Arabidopsis thaliana: one gene and its partners. The protein of the gene in region 1 purifies or fractionates together with the protein of each later gene. This does not show direct contact. Each region holds a gene or a part of one and is shown in the gene's direction. Other genes may lie near its edges.

Region 1 (3,757 bases):
ACGATTTTATAGAAGGAAAATGAAAAAGGGTTTATTTTGTGGCTTTAAATTGGGTGCTTGCTTGGTGGGAAGACAATATTGAACGGGTTTTTTTAACCACAAATATATTATCAGAGTTTATAAAAGATAATTGAAATTGTATTTTAACAATGAACAAAAAAAGGTGGGACGGTGCATTGAAGAAGGAGACGGGAGTTAGATCTGACCAACGGTCCCAACTGTAAATTATAATCACACTCTTACTATACTATTATTCATTCAAATACCATTATTTGTTGACGGATCATGAACATATAGTCAAGATAATTTCTTTAGATAGTCAAGATAAATTCATTAATTACTCTAATTCTTCTGATATGTTTCCAGAGAAAAACCAGATCTAGATCCACTGTTATAATTCGAGGGCAAATGAAATACTAGTAGCTAACAGAAGAATACTGTTTTAGAGTTACGATCTAGAATTCTAGATATATATACAACATTTTTGTTACACCTGATTTGAGATATTACAAAAGTGCTGTGAACCTTAAAACACAGGTAACTCACCACTAGCATCTCAAGTTGGGAAATGAAAGAAAAATCACGATTAACGAAAGAATAAGCAACTTGAAACACACACATATATATGCAACAAACTAAAAACGTATATATGCGCACACCCAAACATAAATGCGCATTCACATCCCAACTTGAATATCAGATCATATAAAGTTGTTGTTTTAAGTAAAAGAAAACTAAATAAAAGGTTGAAAAAAAGAAAAGAAAAAGAGAAGGCATGTGCAGTTTTAGCCAGTTTCACATGCTCACCCAATTATTGTTTTGAGTCGATCTGCTCGGAGAAAAGGAGGGAACATTGGGATATTTTTTGGTTTTCATAAGAAATGTTATCTTTTCTAGTAACGATTAAAGTTGTTTTATACCCAAAAATAACAATAATATGTATGTAATGAGACGTCACAAAAAAAAAAAAAAAAGTAAATGAGAAAATATATTTAGCCAGATCAATTGGCGGAAAACAAGATTTACCTTCGTTATTATATTATGTATAGGATATATACAAATGTATAAGAAGATCATGATAACTTGTAAGAAATGACAATGAATAAGCTTAACTCCAAGGTGAAGATTATATATAAGAGTGTTGGTGTATAATCCAGTTGGATCATTTCATTATCTTCAGATTATGTTTGATTCAAGCCAAGGATGATGTCTTGTTTAAGTTTAAGTTTTAAATTCGGTTTATGAGAGACTACAACTTAATTTTATTTATAATAAGTCTGAATTTGCTAAACCAGGCTAGACAAACCTACTAATGTAGAAGACATTTGTAGCTACTGATTCCCCTAATCTAGTTGAAACTGTATGGTACTAATTTATAGGAATCTTTGTAGTTAGATTTATAAAATAATTGGTGTGACACAAAATTTATTACAAGGGGTTAGTATAAGAAACTTGTAGGGTCGGGGTACGGCACGGCAAAGCACGGACCGTAGGACCATTGAAATGCGATTTCAAATAAAAAGATTTGAAAGCATGTGATCCATCACATGGATATTGATTATTACTGTCTAACAAAATAAACTTGTAGATCGTGTCCAGTTGTTCTTCAAACACATGCGTATAGAAAATGTATAACATTTTGTTATTAATGTTACAAGAAATAAAAGATAATGATCATCCATCATTCATGATGTCATCTTGTTCACACTTGCACAAACCTAATAAGTTATATACAAGACATTTTTCTAGTTTGGTTAGATTAGGTTTCTTTTCCAAAAACCGAACTATCAACTTTTTTTTGTGTCAAAATTTTCAAAAATTAAATAAAATTGACTGTCTAAAAAATCACAAAAGACTATGCAAATTTCTCTTTAGTAATATATCAATTTTGATCCAAATGAAAATGTAGGGGTCGTTATGTAAACAAATGAAAACATGAGGACCCTCCGGGCGTGTATAGTTCACACTTGACAAATAGGGGTTTTGGAGTTAGGCCCTTCCATCCTAATCGCGCTTCCGTCGCCGACGCCATTTTACTCGCCGTCGTCATCTCCGGCCACGCTTGTCATCGTTCGCAATTAATCGAAATCGAAATTTTCCGGTAAGTATCCTCCTTTCTTATTACCGTATCATTCGAGAGTTGGAATCGGATCGGAAATGTAATTGGTTTTGAGGTCAATAGGTTAATACGTTTGTGACAATGGTGGAGTTTCGAGTGTGAATGAAAAAACTCCATTTGCTCGAGAAGATTTGATGAAATGGTTTGTATAGTATTGATTTGATTCTACTTGAATGATTAATGTTTGAATTGCTCTTTGTTGCTTGCAGATTCCTGAAAAAAATGAATTTCTTAAACTCAGCAGCATCCATTTGCAGAAGAGTTAGTTTGAGGGAACTGATCACTGAGGTTCCTGCTTATAGTGGCAGTAGCATTTCCGGTATAGATTTGCGCTTTTCAAAATCTATATTTTGATGATCTTAACTAGTTAACTCATTTGTGTAATTGTTGCTGTTGTTCTTGTTTTGGGGATGTTAAAGATGGTTCTTCAAGTGGCTTGAGTTTGGTCTTCAAGCGTTGGGCTACTAAGAAAACTGCTGGTTCTACAAAGAACGGTCGTGACTCTAATCCCAAGTTTCTCGGTGTTAAGAAATTCGGAGGAGAGGTAAGAAAATAAATAACAAGCGAGATAAGATTTTGATAATCAAATCAGTCTTGGTCTGTGTGAAGAAAATAATGTTTGCCTGTGTGTGTGTGTGATTTTGCAGAGTGTGATACCAGGAAACATCATAGTTCGTCAACGGGGAACTCGGTTTCATCCTGGAGACTATGTGGGGATTGGTAAGGACCATACTCTGTTTGCATTGAAGGAAGGACGAGTCAGGTTCGAGAAAAGCAAGATTACAGGACGCAAATGGATTCATGTTGATCCAACAGGTGGTCATGTTCTTCACCCTATCTACACAAAAGCTGCAGCTGCTCAATCGACTAAGTTGAAGACAGCTTCATAGTCGTGAATACTGATTGCAACAATCTAAACGTGGTTTTCATTTCCTTTAGATCATGTGATCTCTCGAGTAAAAGATGATGCTATCTTAGAGCAGAACCACTCAATTCAATAACATCTGCTGTTTTGTTTCCCTCTAGTCTTTGTCTGGATTTTGATGAAGGGCTTTGTTTGGATTCAACAAATCAAGTTTTATTCGGAAATAGATGTTAATCAAGTCTGAGTTTCTCTCATATGTGTTACGCAAAACAGACAAGTAACAGTCTGAGATAATGTTTTCCCGGCCCGTTATAAACTCATCGAATAATGGGCCAACATTCTAAGCCTCAGGCTCTGGCCCGTCAACGCGGCTAGATCCGTTCATTGAATCAGAAACATATTTATCCTATCGGGTTTAAAATTTCAATTAAAATTTCAAACATAAATTTCTCTCATATTATCATATATGGACGAACCAGCTTTGTTTTTGGCATAATGTGAAATCAAGAGCCAACTTGTTTTAGCCATTAAAGTTTCCTCAAATACTTCTCAAGTTGCCATGCACATCAATATTTAGTTTTTGAATTATTATTTTCTTGTAATTTTACACATTCCTATTCAAAAACAATACAATTAAAATAAAATCATTTCGTTTATAACACAAAAAAAGGAAGAAGAAGATGTCATTGTTTTTTTCTTTATTCACAAATCTTAAGAACAGTCCATATTAATGCATACTAACCACCCATGCGATACATTCATCGTATATGATA
Region 2 (3,757 bases), on another chromosome or scaffold:
AACAATAAAGAGTCTCTAAACCCTTAAGTAACCTTTCAACAATAAAGAGAGTCTAAACTCTAAACCCTTAAGTAACATTTCCAGTATCAATTGCTATTTGAGACCCCTTAAACCCAAAACTTAAATATATTTCATATTCAATTCCGCTTGACTCCTAAACTAACTCGTGGGACGATTTGCTTTTTTGAAAGTAGAGATTTTCAAATTTTAATGATTATGTATTATATATAAAATTTTGCAAATTGTATCAATTTATAAGACATTTATATTTTAAAGTTTATAATTGTTATTAAGTTATTGTTATACCAATAGACAATTTTTGTTTTGTACCCTTATCTAAATTAGTATGATTCGATATGTCTAATATTGGTGGTGTGAAAAATAATAAAATGAGTAGTATTTAATCCGTATTGAAGCCGTGACTTAATGATATTTAATTTTTTTTATTTATATTGATTCAAAAGTTCCGCCATATAACCCCGCTCGGCAATATAATATATCTCGTGTTATTTGTTTATATATTCGAATGTTCATAATATTATAAACTGTTTATTGATTTTAAATATATCAATGATAATATTTTTACAAAATAAAAGTTAAAAATTTTAAATTTAATATTTCCGGTAAAATTAAACAGTTTAACTAGAAACCAAAATTATAATATCTATGAATCATTGCCTAAACATTTTAGCCGATATGGTACGTTAATCACAAACTTTTTATTAATTAGGTAATATATGTCCCTTTTTAATGCACAAAAATTATAAGATTTTTCTTAACTTTATGAATTATATGATGATTCAAAATAGTAAAAAAAAAATCAAACAAAGCTGATAAAAAAATCTTAATTTTAAATCTTAACCAAATCTTCTAAATATGGATTTTGTACAAAAAACGCTTAAAGTTATATTTTTTTGCAAATTTACTTTCCACCTCAAAAAATGCAGAATAATCATGTGAAATCAAAAATATTACGCAATATAGCATTTCTAATATATTGTAAGCGTTTTCACGATCACATACATTTGATTTTTAAAATTTTAAAGCTATAGAGAAATTCCTCTTCTCGAGGCTTTCGATTTGATATATTATTTATCAAAATTTAAAAAATTAACAATAGTGAAAAAGGCATTTCACTATTACTTATTAGGACTACATGGAGTAATAATGATTAATTGTTTAAAAATAAAAGCAAAACCGTTGTTGTCGGTGGAATGGATTTTGGGATGAAAGGTTATAAAGGTTACTGCAATTGTCATGTGGAGCTATGTGACTTCTACTCTATCAAAGGCATGTTAATGATAGCTTGTAAAACAGAGAAAATGACGAAAATAGCGGTTACCGCAATTGTCATGTGGAGCTATGTGACTTCTACTCGATTAATATGGACTATTGTTGAGTAATGTATGTTTTGTTACTAAAGCTACGGTAAAGAGATTCAAGAAACTAAGCAGAAGAATCGGAAGTTAATTACAATCTAAAGGAGTAGTGAATTAAGTGCTTTTTGCTTTTGCTTAAATCCTGGAGAATCTAGAGTGAATAGGTTTATAAAAGTGTTGTCCTATAGCATGTAAGAAAAATGACTTGTAGGTGTCATAGAGCTATGTTATGCTTTTGTGTTGTGTTTTTGTTATAAACGTGGATAAGAGAAATGAGTGATGTATGTTTTTATGCTCTACTAATGAATAATGTTAAGAAAAGAATTCTCTCTTTCAATTCTAGGTTATAGAAATAACAAAACTCAAAATCACAACAACTATAAATACAAAGAAGATACAAAACAAAAAAGATTCGTATTATTTTTAATGTTATTTAGTTTAGTTTTACTGTAATATTGTTTTTACCGCCCGTTTAATGTTTTTTTGCACACTGCTTTTATTTTAATTGATGGTTTACGGGGTTGAATATAAGTTTGTGAAGGTCTTATAAGCGAGGGCTAAAAAAATAAAAGAAAATAAAAAAATAAAAAAATAAGCGAGCGCGTTAAGTAACAATTAGTTAAGTTGGGCTTTGTGTGAGATTCTTAAAAAGCCCATCTTTACAAAACATGAAACCCTAGAACGAAACATTTCACTCTTCTTCTCTTCCACCATCTCAGATTCCCCGGCGAAGATTTTGTTCACAGTTTCCGGTGATCTTCTCCTGTCCGCCCAAATTTCAGTATATCTTTGAAGTAAAACTTTGTTAATCAGCAAAAAAAATATGAAGCCAGTGATAGGCACAGTGGTATCGAACAAGATGCAAAAATCTGTAGTGGTCGCCGTCGATAGACTCTTCCACAACAAAATCTACAATCGCTACGTCAAACGAACTTCCAAATTCATGGCTCACGACGACAAAGACGCCTGCAACATCGGCGATCGAGTAAATTCTCTCGCATTTCCTTCTTCCCTTTCACTCTAATTTCGTTTGATTCCGTCTTTTAAATCTGAGCCACTTGAATTAGGCTTTGTGATTGAACCTCTGAGGCTAAGAAATTTGAAAATCTGGTTGATGTGTAGGTGAAGTTAGATCCATCAAGGCCTTTGAGCAAGAATAAGCATTGGATTGTTGCAGAAATCATCAAAAAAGCTCGAATTTATTCTCCTAAAGCTGCTGCTGCTGCTGTTTCTGCTTCTGCTTCTGCTTCCTCAGCCTCCACTACTGACTCTTCTGCTCAGTCTCAGATTCCTCCATCATCTACTTCTTAAGGTGATTGATTACTTTAGTCCTTTACGTACATAGATATCTAGTTTCAGCTGATTTTTGGAACTTGATGAGAATTATCCTATTTTATGGATTTTAGTGAGTCTTAAAGTATTGATGTGTGACATTATGCATATTGTTATTAGATACTTGAACGTTATGGAATCGATAGACTTATCGTCCTTTTTCTTCTTACTGCAGTTGTTTTAAGAGAAACGTTGCATAGCGAAGCGAGAAAGTTGCTAGGAGTTGTTACTATGAGCATATTGCATCGAAGCTTTTGGATCATGTCTGTGATATTTGATTTCCTGAGATGATAATGAGTTATATGATGGTACTAGATTATCTGGTGAAAGTAGATGAATAACACATGTTAAGATACTCTGTCTTCTTATGTTATTTTGGCAAATCATCAGTGCATTGCCTTTTAAGCAGAAGTGTGAGATAGTGATGAGTTGTTATTACATTCGTTATTTTGGGTATGGAACAATGAGTGAAAATGTATCTTTGGCTCTACAAGTTGTGACACCAGTATGACAAACTAAAGATCAGTACCAACACCAACATCAGTGCCTTGGTCTTTAACGCCTGAAATTATGAATCTTTTCTTTAGTTAGTTAGATATCTATAAAGTTACAAGGTTTTGAGTTTTTGGAGATAATTTTTTGTTTGCTACCTATCTATTTATGTTTTGTTTTAGATCAGAGAAGGAAGTAACCAGAGATTGAAGAGAGAAGAAGAGAGAGACAAGAACCAAGTCAAGAAAGCTAATGTTGCTGCAAACTGATATCTGTTGCATATTGTTGGAGGGCAGGAGGATTCGTTTGATCGCAGAATATCAACAACACTAGCTGCCGATGACGCTGAAGCCAACGCTAGAACAGACACCACCTGCGAAACCAAAAATTGGTGAATTCGGGTCAAAAACTCTGTTCTTTTTTCTCAGTAAGCATTAGATATATAATAGCGTTACCCAATCACCAATAGAGATAGCGAGAAGGATCCGTGGCTTTTGAAATGGTTGCTGGAGAATAACACAATAGATATCTACCATTGCTAACGTCAGATTCCA
Region 3 (3,563 bases), on another chromosome or scaffold:
GAATCTGCAGTTGGCTTATTCGACGTTGCTTCTCAAGTAAGATCTCTCTTATATTACTTTCTTCTAGTTGGATTTTTGCCAAATTGTAGCTTTATTCTATTATTAAACTCTCTGTGGAGAAAGATCAAACCGTAATCTATGCTTTTGTTCTTCCTCAGTTATGCAGTGCTATTAATAGAAAAGAAGGATCAAGAAGGTCAAGCTCAAGTCCTTTCAGCAGCTTTGCAGGTACGCCTAAATTTGGTTATTTTTAACCACTGTTGCATACATCCAAATCCTATTCATCGTCACCGAGTTGAATCTCATCTGTTTTTATTTTGTCTCTGTCACTTGCACAAATCTCTGAGATCAAAGTAAAATCGGAGAAGACCAATGTACCAAATAGTTTATTATCATTTTTTTGGTGCTAAAAATATTTAACTTATTACTACAGGTAGCAGAAGAAGAAGCTGCAGATGTTGATTCCAAGTTCCGGAGTCTGGTAGCAATTGGCTCACTGGTTAGTTTCCGCAACAACTAGAGTAACGTAATCCACTTGTTGTTAATTACATAATTTAATCGGTGTGTGTTTGTAACAACAGATGCTTGAAGGTCTCGTGAAGAAGATAGCGATAGATTTTGATGTAGAGAGCATCGCAAAATCAGCGAAGGCGTCAAAGGAAGCCAAGATTGCAGAAGTTGGGGCCGATATCGATCTTGTAATTCGTCAGTAACCTTAAAAGAGAGTCTGTGATCGAACCCGGGATTTGAATTTTCAATGATTCCCTCAAGAATTTTCATATGATTCAAAATCACTTTTCCTTGAAATGCAATTCAACTTTTTTGTTTTCAGATTTCTGAATACTAACATATGTTAAAACTTAAAAGATTATGGCTTATGGCTTCCATTTTGAGTAGAATTTTTGATCACCCCACATTAACATTCTACTAAGCGAAACCCTAACGTTCTTCTTCTTCAAATGCCAATGTCTTGGCCTTATCCTCTTCCCCAAGCTAAACGCAAAATACTGCGGAAACTTCTTGAGCTCTTCAAGTTCTCTTTCCATGTCGTAAACGAGAAACTCGAACTTGGGCCTCAAGTTATCTTCAACACTGTATCCGAATATCGCCGGGATTCTCCCACAGACTCTAGCTGCTTCCTCGTGTTCGAAACCTATACTCTTCAAGAATCTCATCTTTGCTCTTAGCTTCTCAACTCTCGTGTTCAGCACGTGCGCGTTCGTCTTGCTGGCTCGGTTCAGATTCCGTACCCCTAGCTCCTTAAGGTAAACAAGCGTCGGTCTCAAGCAATACTCAACGTCGGAGAAGAGGATGTTCGGGCAATTTACGATTAAGCCCCTGGATTCTTCTGCGGAAGCTCCAAGCTCGCCGGTGAGAAAATCGAAGACGGGATCGAGTTTAGAGATGTCGAAAGTGGGCGAGAAGAGCTGTGGACAGAGGAAAACGAGGCGTGGGAAATCTTCGTCGGAGATTCCTTTCGATTTGAGGAGATTCACGGCGGAGAGGATAACGGAAAGATCATTCGCCGGAGGAGCAAGTCGGGGATTCTGAGGAACAATTCCGAGAGAAGAAAGGTGTCTTAGATTTTCACGGTGTGAGGTTTGGAATTTTAGATAGAGAGGCTTAGAGCTTGAAGGAGAAGGAGGAGACGAGAAAGACGAGAGAGGTTGAAGATGATGAAGTGAAGCAATAACAGCCATATCGATGATTCTTCACTTCTTACTTCTCATCCCGGTTCGATTTTATTTATATCTGTTAAATAAACCAGAAATTAGCTTTTGAAGCGGTTTAGTATGAGGCCGGTTCTGTTAACTACTATACTTCATGGACCTTAATATAAATTGGGCTGAGATAACAAAGCCCATCATTATAAAACCCCTAGACCAGAAGAATCTTTTTCTCTTTGCTCTTTAGATTCTCAAAATCCAGAGAGAGCTCGTTAGGAAAAATGAAGGCAGTGATAGGGACAGTGGTGTCGAACAAAATGCAGATGTCGGTGGTGGTAGCCGTCGACAGACTCTTCCACAATAATATCTACAATCGATATGTCAAGCGTACTTCCAAGTTCATGGCTCACGATGAAAAGGACTCCTGTAACATCGGCGATCGAGTATTTTCCCCTTCATTTTTTGAATTTGATATACATTTGATCAAGAGCTCGAAAATTTAGGGAAGCTCTAGGAATATTTGAACTCAACCATTGGAAGTAGACTTGCCTGTTTGTTATTAGGCTGCTTTGGAAATGAAACTTGATTTGGTTGTTTGAAATATTAGGTGAAATTGGATCCTTCAAGGCCTTTGAGCAAGCATAAGCATTGGATTGTTTCAGAAATCATAAAGAAAGCACGCATTTATTCTCCACAAGCTGCTGCTGCGGCTCTCAATTCCTCAACCTCCATTGCTGAGCAGCCCCCTGTTTCGTCTTCCTAAGGTGATTTAGTTATTGCTCTCTAATTTTTTGTATCAGAATATTTTGTTTCAGTGTATTGTCCTTTGATACCTTTAGTGGAACTGCATGAGAATTGAACTTTGCTGTTTGACATTTGAGTTTTGATACTGTTTCTAAAGGTATGAGAGGCTATTGTGTGGCAATATAGCTTGTTAGGCATCTTGATGTTCCATTCTTAAGTTCTTGGAATCCATTTTGTGCTCCCTACATTTTCTGTGTCATACCCACTACGATTTATAGCTAGTTAGGCATCTTGATGTGCATCTACCGTAATCTATTTTTCTTACCTTTTTGGTTGGTTAGGCTTTAAAACTCTGACTGTTCCTCTTGCTGCAGTTTTGCAGTTCTGGCGCAAACTCACCCCAGGGTCGAACAATGTGGGTCGCAGACGTAGCACCATCAGAAACAGAGAATGTGGTAACTTCGAACATAATCCATCAAGCTGTAGTGTAGTGCTTTAGTAGATGATATTGATCAGATTTCGATCTCCTGATTACTTGTATAATTGATGAATCCGAAGTTACAGATTATCTATTGAAAGTTTGATGAATAATTTTCACTCTAGCGAAAAAAAGCTAATTCAAAAAGACCAACAAGTTTACAGAGATTGTGTTGGTCAAAATCTATTCATAAGTGATGTTAAGAAGACCAAACTTACTCATCTAATTGGATATAAGCATTTGGAGAAAGTAAACGCCAATATGTAACAATGCATATAAGAATCCAGCGCCAAAAGTATTCAAATTCTAATGTGTCCTATGAAATGATTCTGGTTTGGATCCAAGTTTTGGAACAAACCAAACCGAATTAGCCTTGCCATGTCAGCATACTCCAATCAAACATTGATTGGTCTCTTGTAATGTTATGTGGGTCCCATCATATCAAGATGCAGTGGCAGACGCAGTAGAACTCTTGCTGAGTCTCAATTGTATCCATAAAGATAATAAAATTTGTATATTTCCTCTTTCCTCTGAGATTCCTTTGTCTGATCGTGAACTTGTAGTAGTGTTTTCGTGATAGAAAATTTTCAAAGTTAATGTGCATACACTAGCTAGTGAAGAAGAAGAAGACTAACTAAGAATGGAAGGAACTTGTTTTCTCCGTGGACAACCTC

Evidence for each region.
Region 2: the proteins of AT5G15220 (region 1) and emb1129 fractionate together in Arabidopsis thaliana (co-fractionation; one large-scale study listed by BioGRID). This does not show direct contact.
Region 3: the proteins of AT5G15220 (region 1) and AT3G18880 fractionate together in Arabidopsis thaliana (co-fractionation; one large-scale study listed by BioGRID). This does not show direct contact.

The regions. Positions count from the first base shown.
Region 1 is NC_003076.8:4,940,718-4,944,474, reverse strand, and holds AT5G15220 (Ribosomal protein L27 family protein), read left to right. Parts: upstream 1-1,690; 5' UTR 1,691-2,101; exon of another isoform or gene 2,102-2,261; intron 2,262-2,328; 5' UTR 2,329-2,341; coding exon 2,342-2,438; intron 2,439-2,538; coding exon 2,539-2,663; intron 2,664-2,766; coding exon 2,767-3,009; 3' UTR 3,010-3,231; downstream 3,232-3,757.
Region 2 is NC_003070.9:18,280,954-18,284,710, forward strand, and holds emb1129 (Nucleic acid-binding, OB-fold-like protein), read left to right. Parts: upstream 1-2,014; 5' UTR 2,015-2,202; coding exon 2,203-2,364; intron 2,365-2,501; coding exon 2,502-2,690; intron 2,691-2,886; 3' UTR 2,887-3,249; downstream 3,250-3,757. Other genes in the region: AT1G49405 (Uncharacterized protein family (UPF0497)), read right to left, coding at 3,382-3,576, 3,659-3,757.
Region 3 is NC_003074.8:6,507,640-6,511,202, forward strand, and holds AT3G18880 (Nucleic acid-binding, OB-fold-like protein), read left to right. Parts: upstream 1-1,860; 5' UTR 1,861-1,948; coding exon 1,949-2,110; intron 2,111-2,274; coding exon 2,275-2,430; 3' UTR 2,431-2,431; exon of another isoform or gene 2,432-2,606; intron 2,607-2,785; 3' UTR 2,786-3,063; downstream 3,064-3,563. Other genes in the region: AT3G18860 (transducin family protein / WD-40 repeat family protein), read left to right, coding at 1-36, 159-228, 434-499, 582-713; AT3G18870 (Mitochondrial transcription termination factor family protein), read right to left, coding at 876-1,700; Tic62 (NAD(P)-binding Rossmann-fold superfamily protein), read left to right, coding at 3,530-3,563.